2 linked regions of the Medicago truncatula genome follow. The protein of the gene in region 2 binds, or shares a complex with, the protein of the main gene of each other region. Links are inferred from orthologs where the notes say so. Each region holds a gene or a part of one and is shown on either strand. Other genes may lie near its edges.

Region 1 (7,593 bases), about 2.0 Mb from region 2:
TGTCTGCAAAGTGGACAAGGTTTCTGACTTCATTTTCATCAATGAAACCGTTGTGGTTGGCGTCTGCAAACTTGAAGTCTGTATCACAACTCCAAGATGCAAAGAGTCCTCTAGCAAGGCGCACAGCATGTCGCAGTTCCTCTTTGCTCATTCTTCCATCACCGTTTGTGTCAAACGCTGTCTTCAACCATAGTTTGAATTGCTCCACCGTCATCACACGCTTTCCATGATGACCATTGAACCCTTTGTGCTCCATGAACGCCATACCTGAAATTTGAGAAATTTGAAATATTCCCTATCAGTCACTAACTAGTGTTATATGTTTTGTTCGTGATTAGTTTTCAAGCTTGGATGTTGTATTTATATTGCCACATTTGCTTAGTTTCTTGCTTTGTTTAAGCACTAGTGCTGTTCATTAGGTTACAAACACATTCTTTTTACTTCGTTAGAAAAACACGTTAGAATATATTCGATCCTCTGTGGAAAAATTAGAAATGCATGTTGACTAAAATGGACTATACACAAACTTATAAAATTATCTCCTTTTGTGGTAATGTTTTTTTATGGAATCTCCTTTTGCGGTAATAGTGATGTTATTTGAACACAATTTTGACATGAACACTATATAAAGTATATTTTGGTTAAATCGACATAAATTTAGGAGTTAGTTGAAAACGAGGCTATATTGCTAACGCGTAAGCGGCCACATTTGCATGTTCTGAATAAATTTAATATGAGAATTTTCAAAAAATAACATGCCATAATATCTCCCCTACTTTTACTAAAATAGTCGGCCACTCTTTTTGAATCAAGCTTATTTACTGACTTCATCTTTCTCACTTTTTATTTTATTTTATATGCGGTTTACATGAATTACCAAAATATACAAACACACAAAGACACCGTATTTTTATCAATTTTCTATGTCCATTAACATATCTGATTGAAAAATAGGGAAGTGTAAATTTTACTAAATGTTACACTGTTACTGGTGGAAGATTTTTCTTCTTAAAAAAATAGAGATTAAACTGCATGCACGATGTTGTGCGGTGAGCCTTTTTCTTTTTGTATTAGTCTGATATTTAAACATAAAAACCACCGTCTTTATTTATTCTCCTTGGTAGGTCTGCATACACCAATAGCAACTAATAATAAAAATATCCGCGCTTATCCTTCATCTAGTATAGATCAAGAATCTGGAATTTATCAACAGCAAAAAATAGTATGATCTATTTCCAATAGACATGTGTTGGAAAAAGATGAGAAGTGTTATTAAATTTAAAGGTGGGTTGTTACATTTTTTTTTTGGTACATGGTTGTTAGATTATTTAATAAGTATGAGAAAGTATAACTAAATCATTTCATTGTAATAAACCATTTAATATAATGAATATTAATAAAGAGATACAAACTAGTAGTTATAGATATAGCCATTAATTGGATTTGGCCATTAATAAAGATATAGCCATCATGTAATAAACCATTGTGTTACAGGAATATATTCAACAAAATCAGCTTATCACACTCTTTTGAATCGCTTCCATGATGTTGAAAACAACCACAACTTTAATTGGATTTGGAAACTCAAGGTATCTTCCAATATTCAATTTTTTATGTGGCAAATTTGCCTTAGTTCTCTACCAACAAAGTCAATTCTTGTATCTCGTCATATAGCTCCATCAGCGACTTGTCCTATTTGTAATGCATCAGAAGAGGCTATGATCCATTGTCTTTTGACTTGTACAATAGCTAAAGAGGTTTGGAAGAAGTGCTTCAATACTTCTCTTATTCCACCTGCGGATGACAGCTCCTTAGGTTCTTGGGTGGAGAATTGTTTTAAAAATCATGGAATTTTCCCACTTTTAATCATGTGGAAGTGTTGGTGTGCCAGAAATAAGTTCATTTTTGATGGCATAAAGACACCATTCTTTATAATTGTAGCAGAGTGTAATGCTCTTTACATGCACACTGTCAAGGCATTTGGAATTGGGGGCACATGTGCTCGTGGAAGTGAGGTTGCACGTGAGGTTTGTTGGAAGAGACCGGATACTGGATGGATTGCTTTGAATGTTGATGGGAGCGCTCTCACTAACCCAGGTGCAGCGGGCTTTGGAGGCATCATTCGAAATCATGAAGGTCGATTGATGCTTGGGCTTAGTGGATCTGTTGGTTGGTCTAATATCTTGTATGCCGAGTTGATGGGTTTGCTTAAAGGTATGTTGTTGTGTTGGGAAGAAGGGTACCGGAAAGTTCAATGTTTTACTGATTCCTTGAAAACTATTAGACTCATTAATGAGGCAAACACATTATATCATCTTTATGGTAATGAGGTTGCTTTGTTGCGTAAGCTGCTGCAACGTAATTGGCAGGTGCATATATCTCACATCTACCGCGAAGGTAATTCTTGTGCGGACTGGTTTGTGAAGACGGGTGCTAGAAACAATGTCGACCTCACAGTTTGTAGAAACCCCCCTACAGATTTAGGCCCCTTTTTAATTGCTGATGCTAATGGTACTCGGTTTGTGAGACCTTAGTTTTTTTTTTCTTCCTTTTTTCTTTGTAACCAAAAAAGATATAGCCATTAAGTTAAGGCATAAGCAACTTTATTGATTTACCTTAAAATAAACATCAATCTTAAGAGTTTTCCAACAAATAAGAAAAATCAAGCCTACAAGTTGAACCAAATATATGAGATGTCATTTTGATCGAATGTGAAAAACATCCGCATCTCTTTTACATCAATATTTCGATGTGTGGAACAAAATTAGCAACAATAAGTTATTAAAGTAACCAAACAACCACATACAATAAAATAAGATAAAAGGAGGAGGAAGAAGAGGAGAAGAAGACAACAATATTTGTTTATCCAATTCGGTCCAAATCGATATATGTTTGGAGGAGATAATTGTTCTCCAATCCACCATCAAAGAGTTTCTTACAAAGAGATACATGGGCTCCCCGACCTTAGAATTTCTCCCCAATAGACACTAATGTTTAGTCAATTGATTCTCTAAAGGTTCCCTCTTTTGTACTCTCTAAGCTTGTCTTTTTTCACACTCTTAAACCCTAAACAAGAGGTCATATTTATAAGATGTGTTCAACCCTTAAAACTTGCCAAATACAAAAAAAAAAAAAAAAAAAAAAAAAACGTGTACATGTGCTCCACAGATGGAGCATTGTGCCCCGAGCAGTAGCAAGAAGACTATTGCAAAGCACATCCATGTGCCCAACGTATCCTTTTTCTATGTGCCCCATGCATGAGGTAGTAGCACATAGTCTTCGTGAAACACAATTTCAAGGCATATTGAACAATTATCCACATTGCTCTTAAATTGATGGTGATGCCACTTTAACCATCAACCACCTTGTTGTTTGCCCTTGCTTCCAACTACACATGTATTCTCATAAGATTTCATATTTACCTCTTGAACCCTCAGAATTACTTCCAGTCTCTTTATGGCCCTTGGATCCTACTACACTAGGCATTTTAGGTAGTTCCACAAGTTTTATCATAGCCTTTCAACCTTTGGAGTGATTATTTACGTCTTCTTGAAGATTTCCTTGCTCTTAATTGTTTCTATAAAGCTACTTGGTTTCGAGTCTTGCATCTCCTCAGCCACAATTAAAGCATAACACACAAGAATTCCACAGTCATACTACTTTGGTACAACAATATCCCTCATTTTCGTTGTCTTCAAGACACAAGACATTCACACTCTTGGCCTTGTCCCAATCTCGATTTGGTCTGCTTGTGATATGGTGGTCAACAAATGCACCATCACCCTTCAATGCCTATGTACACTATTGTTGAGTCAAGACTACTTGTATCCTCACCTTCAACAACTTGAAATCGTTGTCTTCAACAATTTTCTCAATATCCCACTTTATACTCATGGTGCTAGAGTAACGATTTGTAAAACTAGAGGGATTAATTTACAAATTTTGAAAAACTATACAGATGAATTTTCATGACTAATTTAATCTTTTTTAAAATTTATAGAGGCCAAATTGCAATTTATAAAAAATAATTAGGGAACAATTTGCAAATATTAATTGAAAATTCAAATGTTTAAATCAAATTCATTTCGTTTATATTTTTTTATCTGGTTCATGCACCGGCAAAAAATGAACTACTATAAAATAACCAATGAACTAGTCCAAATACTAAGCGATTTGAGTCTTTTACACATATGATCAAAAGTTCAATTACCACCAACTCGAAATTGCAACTTTCGTCAAAATACTCCCTCAATTTTGCGAAACTTCAAAACCTCCAGTATTTTGTCAAATGTGTCTATCGATTTTGCATGTCATAGAGAGTAATGGCAAAATCAGAGAAGAGTGCAACATACGTCTGACAAAATCAAGGAGGTTTTTGAAGTTTCGCAAAATCGAGAAAGATTTTCCACAAAAGTTACAATTTCGGAGAAGAAATGATTGACAATTCACTCAAAGTTCAATTTCAGAAGAGATAATTGACAATTTCGACAAAGGATTTGACGAATGTTAAATCAAACCTATGAACTCATCTTATACATCAATTGTTTCTCAAGGAAGATTAACCACTCGACTCTAATTCACTATTGGGCCAAAACAAACTAGACGCTTAACCCACAATTTTGACAAAATCCGAGTTTGTAGTTTATCCACGATTAGAACTTAGAAGTTAGTAGAAGAAACAAAAATGGAGTCACAAGGACAGTGGAATCCGCTTCTATCATTTTCGCGGTTCATCCATCAAAACTGTAACCACCTTGCAACTCGTTTCGAAGACACAAGAAAATTCGCTGGAACCCTAATTCAATCTCACACTCGCACCAAACCGGCTTTCGCCGCTACTTTAACTTCCAACCACGTCGCCAAATCTCTCGCCGGAACCTCCGTTTACACCGTCAGTAGTTCCAACAATGAATTCGTACTTATGTCTGATGCTGAAGGTGCTAAGTCCATCGGATTGCTTTGCTTTCGCCAAGAAGACGCTGAAGCTTTCCTTGCTCAGGTAAGTTCCTCTCTCAGTAATTTGTTCATTTTTTATTTTCTTGATTTCATGCTGTTAATGATTTTTTTGTTCGTTGTTTTAGGTTCGATCAAGGAAAAATGAATTTCGAGGCAATGCTAAGGTTGTTCCAATAACTCTTGAACAGGTAGTTATTTTTCCATTTCATAATTATCTCCTGCTAATCCTGGTTTTATCACATTTTGTTGATGTGAAAATGAAACCATCCTGTGTTTCGTACTCGAATGCTTTTAATTCACTAAGGGCTTATTTGAGCTTATTTAGTGGCATAAATTTTGTGAAACCGTTTGGGAGAACTTATGAAAACAACTTATGACATTTTTCATAAGTTTTGTTCAGCTTATTTCATAAGTTGTCCAAGATAGTTTATGAAAACAGTTTATAGCATAAACAAAAACAATTTAACTTAGTAATCCAAATAAAATAAAATAAAACAATTTAACTTTATTTTATCTCTTGCTATAGAAATAGCTTATATAAGCTGATACATAAGCGCTTATCATGATAAGTGTTTGTACTATAAGGTGCAAATAAGTTTTTTTTTTATCCAAAAGGGCCTAATTCATGTATCAATGGCACTCAATGAAATTATGGTTTGGCTTCTATCATATTGAGAGTCAAAGTAATTAATTAATTATGTTGGAAACAATTCATTGTTAAAAACCTTCAAGACTTTTAAGAATCAGTTGTAAATGAAATGATTCTACGTGATTTTCCCCCTTTGAATTCGTATCAATACGGGCTATGTTACTATCAGCATTTAGAACCATGTGCTACTGACATAGCACCTACAACCATGAATGTCACACCTTTCCTTTTAATAAAGGGTAAGGGGGAACCTGCTATCAGATACTTTTTGAAGCATAATAAGTATGGTTTTTATCCTGTATCTGTAACAACTTTTCTGCCTGCGTTATAGGTATACTTGTTGAAGGTTGAAGGTATTGCATTCCGATTTTTACCCGATCCACTTCAAATAAGGAATGCACTAGAGGTTAGTTCCAGTTATAATTGTTGCACACAACATATTACTTAAAAGCCAAACTAGTATTTTCATCATCTGAGTCCTATACCAGTGTCACTATGGAATGAGTTAAGTCTTATCAGTTTTAAATGTAAATCATGGAGGAAAATAAGCTTCAGTAATATGCATGATAGCTGCGGTGTGGGAATTCTGTGACTGAACAGGTAGCATATATGTTCAAGTGCTGAACTGTTGGATTGTGTTTAATTTCATTTTCGTTGTGTTTATCAGCTCAGAGCCGCCAACAAGGAAGGTTTTGATGGAGTTCCTGTTTTTCAGGTATGTTTTCTTACTTTGGCAGTCTCCAGTCCTTCAGAGGACTGATTGGGCAATGGTGAGGGTGTGGGCAGGAGATACAGATTGACATGTGTTTGTCGTTTCGTTAATGTATATATCAGTAGCTATAAGTGTGGAATTCATAATATTTTATTTTCACTGAACTTACTGCCAAGTAATTAACTGCAGCCAATGCATGGTACGGAACATATAAATTCCAAGACTGGCAAACAGCTTAAAAACCATCGAACTATTTTAGTATCTGCCCATCTGGAGTCTAATTTAAATATTTGAAAAATATTGGTAGTAATTGATCATGTTAATTTTTAACCTATTGACTAATAATCACATTTGCTTACAGTCAGAACTTTTGGTTGTGAAGAAGAAGAATAAACGTTATTGCCCTGTATATTTCTCTAAGGTTTGTCTAACCCATTGGTCTCTTTAATTGCAATTCTGGTCCCTCTCTTATGGTCAATATGCAATTTTGTCCCTCTATTTTTAATTTAGAAATTTTGTCCCTCGATATTTTTAATTACACAATTTTGGTTCCTCAGTCAAGTTGTCATCCAATTTTTAACTATGATGATGATGTGGCGGTCAAATACGTGACATTGAATATGTGAAATTGACATGGCTATAGAGTGCTTATATGGTGTTACATGTCTGCTGTACACATATGATGCTTATATGGCTATATAAACAATTTATTTTTATTTTTTTTTAGCAAAGTAGAATGCTTAGGACCCGAATTCACACCTAGGCTTTTAAACTAACATTCTTAACCACTACACCAACTCAACGGGCTACCGTAATATAGCAAGTATGAATGTGTGTGTAATACAAACAACACTTGGTGGCCGTGTTAGCTTCACACGTTCAATGTCATGTCAGCATTTGACTGTTGCATCATCTTCATTGTTAAACATTTAGGGACAACTTGATTAATGGGCTCAAATTGAGAAATGAAAAATAGGATGAACCTTAATTGCAGATTGGCAATAAGAGAGGGACCATAAGTGCAATTAACCCCAAATCATAGTTAGGCATGTAGCTTGATGGAATATAATCATATGATAGTTTTCGTTTGTTGTTTAAATGGACAGGAAGATATTGAACAAGAACTATCTAAGGTTTCCAGGGTATCTAAAGGTCCTGGAGTTTCCAAGCAAATAATGGTATAGAATCTCTCATCTCTTGCTCTTGTTTTTGTTAGTCTGTCAGAAACTTGTTACTCTGTATGAAACTATATGACCTTGAAAACAATTATGGTGAA
Region 2 (7,905 bases):
AATAAATAAAAAATAAATAAATAAAGACAGGCGGGCACCTAACGCTAATAGAAATACATTGATTACATAAGCTCTCACACGCAAGCTATGCAAGTAGATTAACTGAAATAAGTCAATTTAGTCCGTCCCTAAGTCAAACTATTTTCATAGAAGCTATAAGTTGTTTTCATAAGTTATTCTAGAGAGCCAGTGAAAATAAGCTGAAAACAGATGTCATAAGCCATTTTCATAAGCTCTGTGAAAGAGTCTCACAAGTGTTTATGCTAGTAAATAAGCTTAAATAACTCAATCTAAAATAGGTCCATAATCATATAGTAACAGTTACAAAATGTGAAATATAGAAAAGAAATCAAATTCAACTCACTCACAGTTCCCATAGATAATTAGAAGCTTCATGATTGCCACCGATGAAGATAGTAGGATAAGGAGCAACCTCCAAGCCAGAATAGTATTTCCAGAAGGAATTCATAGAGAGGAATTTGTCTGGTACGTTGAGGCTTTTCAAATCATTCTTGTTCCTCACGGCCTGAAAATCGCCGCAACAGAGAAGAAGATCGATTTTGGTGTTATTAGTTTTCTCGAGGTGTTGAAGGGTTTTGTAGACATTGTCTAAATCGCCATGCATGCATCCTTCTATTGCTATCTTCATCTTTTCTCAGTTCGATCGAAAAGCCTCACGCTAGGGTTTGGATGGGTTTTATCGGAGCAATAGTCTCGACTCTCGAAGATTCCTCTGCGTTCTCGTTTCGTTTCTGAACGGTTTTTTTTAGGTGAATTGTCGTTTTAGTCCTCTGCTATAATAAAATTTGAGCAAATAATCACTTTATAGTCCCTGATTCTGCAGCTCGCTGTTAGATAGGTCTCTGACTCAGGATTAAATACAAATAAGTTCCTAACTCTGCACTTCCGTTGTCACTTTAGTCCCGGATGTTAAAAAAATATGTTAAGTGATTATGATGATGTGGCGCATATGAGGTGTCACAGAGACCAAAGTGAAAGTAGAAAATGGTCACTTTGGTCCCTGAACCAAAAATCAATATTCCCAAATTGAATATCAAATCCCTAAATCTTAAATCCTTAAATATTATCTAATTATCTTTTTTTGCTCAAAATCAATCTTCCAAACACCAACCTACTGTTATGTTCCTGACTGTGCATACTTACTATCAGTTAGGTCCCTGACTATTAAGGATCTTTTTGGCTTGAAAGCTGATCTTGAGGCAATGATATGTTGGGCTAAGGTTTGGAGTTTTATATAGTAGTGTCATAGTGTTGTGGTTCTGTTACCTCTTTCTCCCTTTAGTATATTAATGGCATCAGGATTACATATATAGATAAATGAATTATGAAAAGTGTGTTTAATTATAATCTCTGTAAGTATTTTAAAGTTATAGCTTGATTTTTTATGTGTCTTTCAACAACAATATCAAATTTTTGGTGGAGAGATGTGAATAACTAATGCATAAATTCACTTGCTAAAATACACAGGCTTAAAGTTAATGACATTCAGATTTGTACAAGAAGGTGTTGATTCAATAGTATTAAATATCATATTCATGCTATTAAGTTACATTAAAGAACTTATGTTTTAGTTGCTTTAACTTCTCATGAAAGAAAAATTAAAGTGAGAAATTTGATAATAAACTTGGAAACATGAAAAGTACCTAGTAAGTAGAACAAATTTTGAGTTAGAAATTATGTTAAAAGAAATTCAATAGAAATGAATTATCATTTAAATATATCTTGAGCTCTTGATTATTGTATGCTCAGACCTACGGGTAGATATATGAATTATCATGTGAATATAACAATAATCAAGAGTAATAGATGCTAATGGATTTGCTAATTCATTGTCAGGGACCTAACTGATAGTAAGTATGCACAGTTAGGGACCTAACAATAAATTGTGTTTAATGGAAGATTAATTTGAACAAAATAGAGAATTAGATGACATTTAGGGATTTGAGATTTAAGTATTTAGGAATTTGATATTCAATTTAGGAATATTGATTTTTGGTTCATGGATCAAAGTGACCATTTTCTACTTTCACTTTAGTCCTTCTGACACCTCATATGCGCCACATCATCACTTAACAGATTTTTTTACGTCATGGACTAAAGTGATAACGGAAGTGCAGAGTCAGTGACCAAAATGACTATTTGCTCAATAAAATTTGTTTATCATTTAAATCTAAATTTTTGGAATTTGCAAACAGGTTTAGAACAACATAAAAATCTTGCTTATTTTAATTTTAATTTTTTTAAATATGAGATGAGATAAATTAAATATGATGTTCTAAACATGTTTATAAAAAAATTGTTCAAAAAATTTAGAGTTTAAGGTTTGTTAAACAAATTTTGTTTTATTAGGGACTAAATCTATGTACAAAAGTTTTTATAAGACTAAAAAAAACTATTAAAATTAGAAAAATATTAAAGAGTTTGTGAGGTTCTTAACCAATGTCCTTTGGACGCCGATTTACAAGACCCTTAAAATTAAATAAGGATTCAACTTAAAAAATTATCATTTTATAAGGACCAAACATATATTTAACTTTAAATTTAGTATGGATCTCATAATAAGAGGAATGACAATTTGACGTATGGTGGATTGATTAGTTTTAGAGATTCCCACGATGGTTTGGTACTTAAAGGTTTCGTTGCAAGCTTCAACATAACAATTCTCATTGTGTTGAGATGTGGGGTTTAATTCATGGGATGTGCATAGCTCACAATCTCCATCTTGCACATGTTATTTTTGAAATGGATTCTACATTTGTTGCGACCGCGGTTATTAATTGAACCACTTTTATTACCTACACTTGTTGCGACTGTGGTTCTCAAATTGGTTTGCTCTATAATTAGTGCATAGAATAGAACACTTGTTAGCAATACCCTAAAAAATAAAGAAAGTATTGCAAAAAACTTTTTCTTTGATTTATAGGTTTACTCCATAAAAATAATTAGAGTTTAACGGGAGTTGCACTCTTGGTGTAAAATAGTTTACTGTTACCTAAAGTTAGTCCACTGTATTTAGAGTATTTAGAGACTTAAAACAAATTTTATAGCAAAACTTAAAAAAAAATAAAAAAAAAATACACACATATTAATATGGAGGAATACATAAAAGAAAATTATTATGAATAACAACAAAGTAGAAATAACGTCAAAACACCATAGAGTAAACATCATAAGTAGATTGTCTGTTGCAGTGTTGTTGAATCTTTTCCTCCTTATTTATAACAAAATCATTTGAATGCAGTTATGCAAAATGTAATGAAAAAACATAAATGGCATCCTCAACAAGGATTCTCTAACATTAAAGCGAGAATGTTATTTGATTTTATTTTGGTCTCTCTCTCATCTCATCACTTATTCGACTTTTTTTGTTGGATGGATGGTTCGTCTAACACATCCATCAATATGAGGGTCGATTAAGAGAGAGAGGAGGTTCATGATTTAATCCAAGAGATGGCGTTGTTTGGGGTTAAGTCTACACCGACCCTAAATTAACTTTGAGGAGCAAATAACCACTCAAAATATTAGGGCCAAGTTGATGAGATAATGGGGGAGAAACTCTGATCCTCCCCTAGTAGTCTCATACCAAAACCTAACTCACCATTTACCCATGAAATATACAAAACATTGGTGGCCTAGTACCTGACACTTTCCTACTAGGTTTGACCTAAAGTTCACTAACAAGAACTTTTAAAAGAAAAATCACAATTGTTATTTTTTTATAAATGAGGTATTTTTTGTGCTAGCACTAATTAATTTAAGAGAAATGTTAACGAGTGTCTCCGAGGTACTCTTTAAAAACTTTTAATAGTAAGTTTTTATGAAAAATTGTGTAATCAATGCATTGAAATTTGTAACATTAGACTTTTTTAATGAATATTTTCTAAATTTAGGATCCTTAAAGAATGTCTTGGATGCACTAGTTAACAAGACCCTTTATTTAAATACAATCATACAAGAATATCAAAATACATTAACGTCATTCAATTTTTTTTTTAACTAACTCACATTTTTTTTTACTATAGATGACTATGTTCAAGCGGTCGTTAGATATTAAATATAAATGTTTATTCTAATGAATATTTCAAACACAATTAATGTTTGAATTGTGATTCCGAGTTTTGTGAAGATTATACCTCTGCTGCCAAGATTTTTTTGCGTGTTAATCCTTCGATTTATAAAAAAAAAGTTCATAGTAATTTGGACTTCAGTCAAAAGATAAGTATCATCTAACTAAAAAAATTCTCTCAAAATCAAATTTAGATTCTTCCTAAAAATTGACAAGGTACTTGACACACCACATTGTAGATAACACCAAAAATCACATGAGAATATGTGCACTCCTGTTGTGGAATCAATTTAGAGTCACATGACGTGAAGGAACATACTACATCCTTTATTTTGTATGAAAAAGAAAAACACATAACATATGGGTTTAAATAACAAACAATTATTCAGTAGGAGTATAGTCACAGTGTAGGACAAATTTATTTTGAAGATCCTAACCACACATCACATGTTACTTCCAATGGAATGCATCTATTTAGCCACGTTTGAAAATGAGCTTAAAAAATTCTACTGAGAGTTCAATTTGCTTCCTACATTTTACATCAAGAGTAGCGTTATGAGCACTCCTTTTTAAATCCACTCTCTTATTTAAAACTCAGACGAGTTCCACACTTTTTAAATCGATTCTTCCTAGCATTTCAATTCTTTACGTTAAACCTTTTATTAGTAACAGTGGACCACATTAGTGTTTTGTTTTTTTGACAAAAGTGGACCACGTTGGTTTTGTTATGGTTGTGTTTAGTCTCATATAGACACTATGAAACGACAATAGTTAACGAGAATTCATCCATGTTGCGTGTAATGGATTATGTGTCCAAATTTTCATTTTAAGGTAAAAGAATCAGCAATATTTTGTGTGGTTATGAATGTCACACGAGTCTTGCAACCACACACAACACTCACCTGAAAGTATCTCTTCTAATTCTTCTTTCTTTACCTCGATCAGTTTCTAGTACTGCTTCTTGATTTCACTCTATGGCGTTGGTAAATCCATTTCTTCTCCCTACCAAAACTCATTTTGCTTTGCCAGTTTCACCTCCACCATCCAAACAAATACTCCTTTGGACTAGCCCATCTTCCAGTTTCAGTTTCAATCTCAACAAAGGCTTGTCATCAAGCAGAAGAAAGCATGCAGGGTATCTCCCCGCCACGGCAGATGTCAAAACTGCATCAACTTTACTTGATGTGGAAGAAGATCAGAAAGTTCTAGTGGGACCTTCCAGTGAGCAAGAACGCAGGGGTGAGAGAGAACTTGCAGCTTATGATTGGAAAGAGGAATGGTACCCTTTGTACCTCACTAAGAATGTACCAGATGATGCACCGTTGGGTCTCACAGTATTTGACAAGAACCTTGTTTTGTTTAAAGATGGCAATGATCAGTTTCAATGCTATGAAGATCGGTGTCCTCACAGGTTGGTTTTAATTTATCTCGCTTCTAATTATTCTTATGATTGATTTTGCTTTCAACTTCTTTATGTGATCACATCCCATATGTAAGAATTCATAATTGATTTAACCAAAGTTGCATGCTATGTGATTAAATGAAAATAACATGATTATTGATGCAGATACAGCTCTTCTCAGTTAATACAGATTTTGTAGCTGTATACTGTGTATATACTTGGTGCTCCTAATGTTCGGGTTTATTTTTCTCTACCATGATGTGAAATCAAACTCAAGGATCAGAAACTAATCCAATGTGTTTGTCTGATAATGAGATCTATATTACTCTATTTAGGAATAAGATATTGGTATTAATAATGTTAGTGGATTGTTATGTTAGTTATTAATTATCTCTCTGTAATACCATATTTACAATACTGCTACTGCTGAGAAGAGGCTAGGGTATATTTAAACATTTGAGTATCACTGAAATTTATCAAAACAAATTTGATTCATTTAATATTTGTATCTTTCCTAGGACAGTCACTAAGTTCACCTAATGAATAATGATAGTATGTACCAATTTCAATTACTTACGAATTCCCCTGTGCTAGTTGTTTTCATAGGTGATAATGAACATTAATAAATATTCTCACGTTAACCGGCTAATTTTTTCAAAATTAAATCAAACCATCTACATTTGATTGGCAAGTAAGTATAAGAAATTATGATTTTTTATTCCTTTCACAATGCTGGACTGGATCTTATATTTTATATGATTCAGGTTAGCAAAACTATCTGAAGGCCAGTTGATTGATGGAAGGCTTGAATGCCTGTATCATGGATGGCAATTCGAAGGCGAAGGGAAATGTGTGAAGATACCTCAGGTAGGCTACTGACTTTAGAGTTCTACTCACCTATATCATGAATGTCCTTATATGGTTTGAGGCTAACAAGTAACAAGTAATAATAACTGTTTTCTCTGTTTTCAACAGCTTCCAGCTGATGCAAAAATTCCCAGGTCAGCCTGTGTTAAAACATATGAGGTGAGGGATTCTCAAGGTGTTATTTGGGTATGGATGTCACCAAAGGTACCTCCAAATGTCAGCAAAATACCTTGGTTTGAGAACTTTGCAAGGCCAGGGTTTCAAGATGTTTCAACAACTCATGAACTCCCATATGATCATTCTATTCTACTGGAAAACTTGATGGATCCTGCTCATATTCCAATCTCGCACGATAGAACAGATTGGACTGCAAAGAGAGAAGATGCACAACCGCTACTTTTTGAGGTGACAGAACGAACTGATAGAGGGTTTGCAGGTTGGTGGGGACGAGAGAAAGACGGCACTAAGCCTAACTTCTTACGGTTTGAGGCTCCTTGTGTTCTACAAAATAACAGGGAAATTGTAGATAAAAATGGTGAAATAAACTACTTCAGTGGTCTGTTCCTTTGTAGGCCAACTGGACAAGGGAAATCCATGCTGATAGTGAGGTTTGGAGGAACAAAAAGATCTCCAATAGTAAAACTGTTTCCTCAATGGTACTTCCATCAGAATGCAAGCAAGGTTTTTGAACAAGACATGGGATTCTTATCATCACAAAATGAAATTCTTTTGAAAGAGAAGGTTCCGACAAAGGAACTATACCTGAATTTAAAATCATCAGACACATGGGTTGCTGAATACCGTAAGTGGATGGATAAAGTGGGACACGGGATGCCATATCATTTTGGTCACAACACTATTTCCCTGCCCAAAGAGCCGGCTGTGATTGAACATGCGCCTGCTGGACTCATTGCAGGACTATCAGCTTCTTCACCTGCAAAGGGGGGCATTGGAACAATGCATGCTCCAAATTTAGCAAATAGATATTTTAGGCATGTAATACATTGCAAAGGATGTAGAACCGCCGTCAAAGCTTTTCAAACTTGGAAAAATGCCCTTTCGGCTGTGGTCGTTGCATTAGCTGCATTAGCAATTCTGGTTACTGGGAGACAATGGAAAGCCATCCTGTTGGCATCTGCAGCCCTGTGCTCTGTTGGAGTATATGCTTGTTCAACAGCTGTTGCATTGAATACAACAAATTTTATTAGGACACATAGGAGATTGTGAGCAACAAGTTGTAAAAAATCTCCCTTTTCAATATTACCCTTACAGCTTGTATAATGGTTTTTTATGACATCTAGTGTTGTCTCCATCTATGTAATTTAAGCCAAACAAGTAATAGAAGAAGAAAAAGTTTCTCAACAATGTGTTCAGGTGAAGAGTCACCGTCTGCTAGAAAAGCATACTGTCTATTATTTTATGTCCTTTTCAAAAACAAAACAAAATCTGTAGTAGTTTACTATACTTTATCCACAAAGAGGTCGAGAAGAAATTATATAATGATCATGCTTGAAAGAAAAAAGAAAGAAAACAATCAGTCCACAGAATT

What was found.
Region 1: protein TIC 55, chloroplastic (region 2) and protein TIC 22, chloroplastic share a complex: the UniProt entries of both Arabidopsis thaliana proteins name them as parts of the tic complex. The link is inferred for Medicago truncatula from reciprocal best matches to the Arabidopsis thaliana genes TIC55-II and Tic22-IV.

Annotation. Positions count from the first base shown.
Region 1 is NC_053044.1:50,225,652-50,233,244, forward strand, and holds the start of protein TIC 22, chloroplastic, read left to right. Parts: upstream 1-4,568; 5' UTR 4,569-4,684; coding exon 4,685-4,999; intron 5,000-5,081; coding exon 5,082-5,144; intron 5,145-5,936; coding exon 5,937-6,011; intron 6,012-6,272; coding exon 6,273-6,320; intron 6,321-6,678; coding exon 6,679-6,738; intron 6,739-7,423; coding exon 7,424-7,495; intron 7,496-7,593. UniProt on the Arabidopsis thaliana protein: Involved in protein precursor import into chloroplasts. Imported into the intermembrane space via the Toc translocon. May be involved in the import pathway used by proteins without a cleavable N-terminal pre-sequence.
Region 2 is NC_053044.1:52,260,717-52,268,621, forward strand, and holds protein TIC 55, chloroplastic, read left to right. Parts: upstream 1-4,887; 5' UTR 4,888-5,061; coding exon 5,062-5,498; intron 5,499-6,253; coding exon 6,254-6,356; intron 6,357-6,464; coding exon 6,465-7,583; 3' UTR 7,584-7,735; downstream 7,736-7,905. Other genes in the region: lariat debranching enzyme, read right to left, coding at 369-649. UniProt on the Arabidopsis thaliana protein: Involved in protein precursor import into chloroplasts. Part of the redox regulon consisting of TIC32, TIC 55 and TIC62.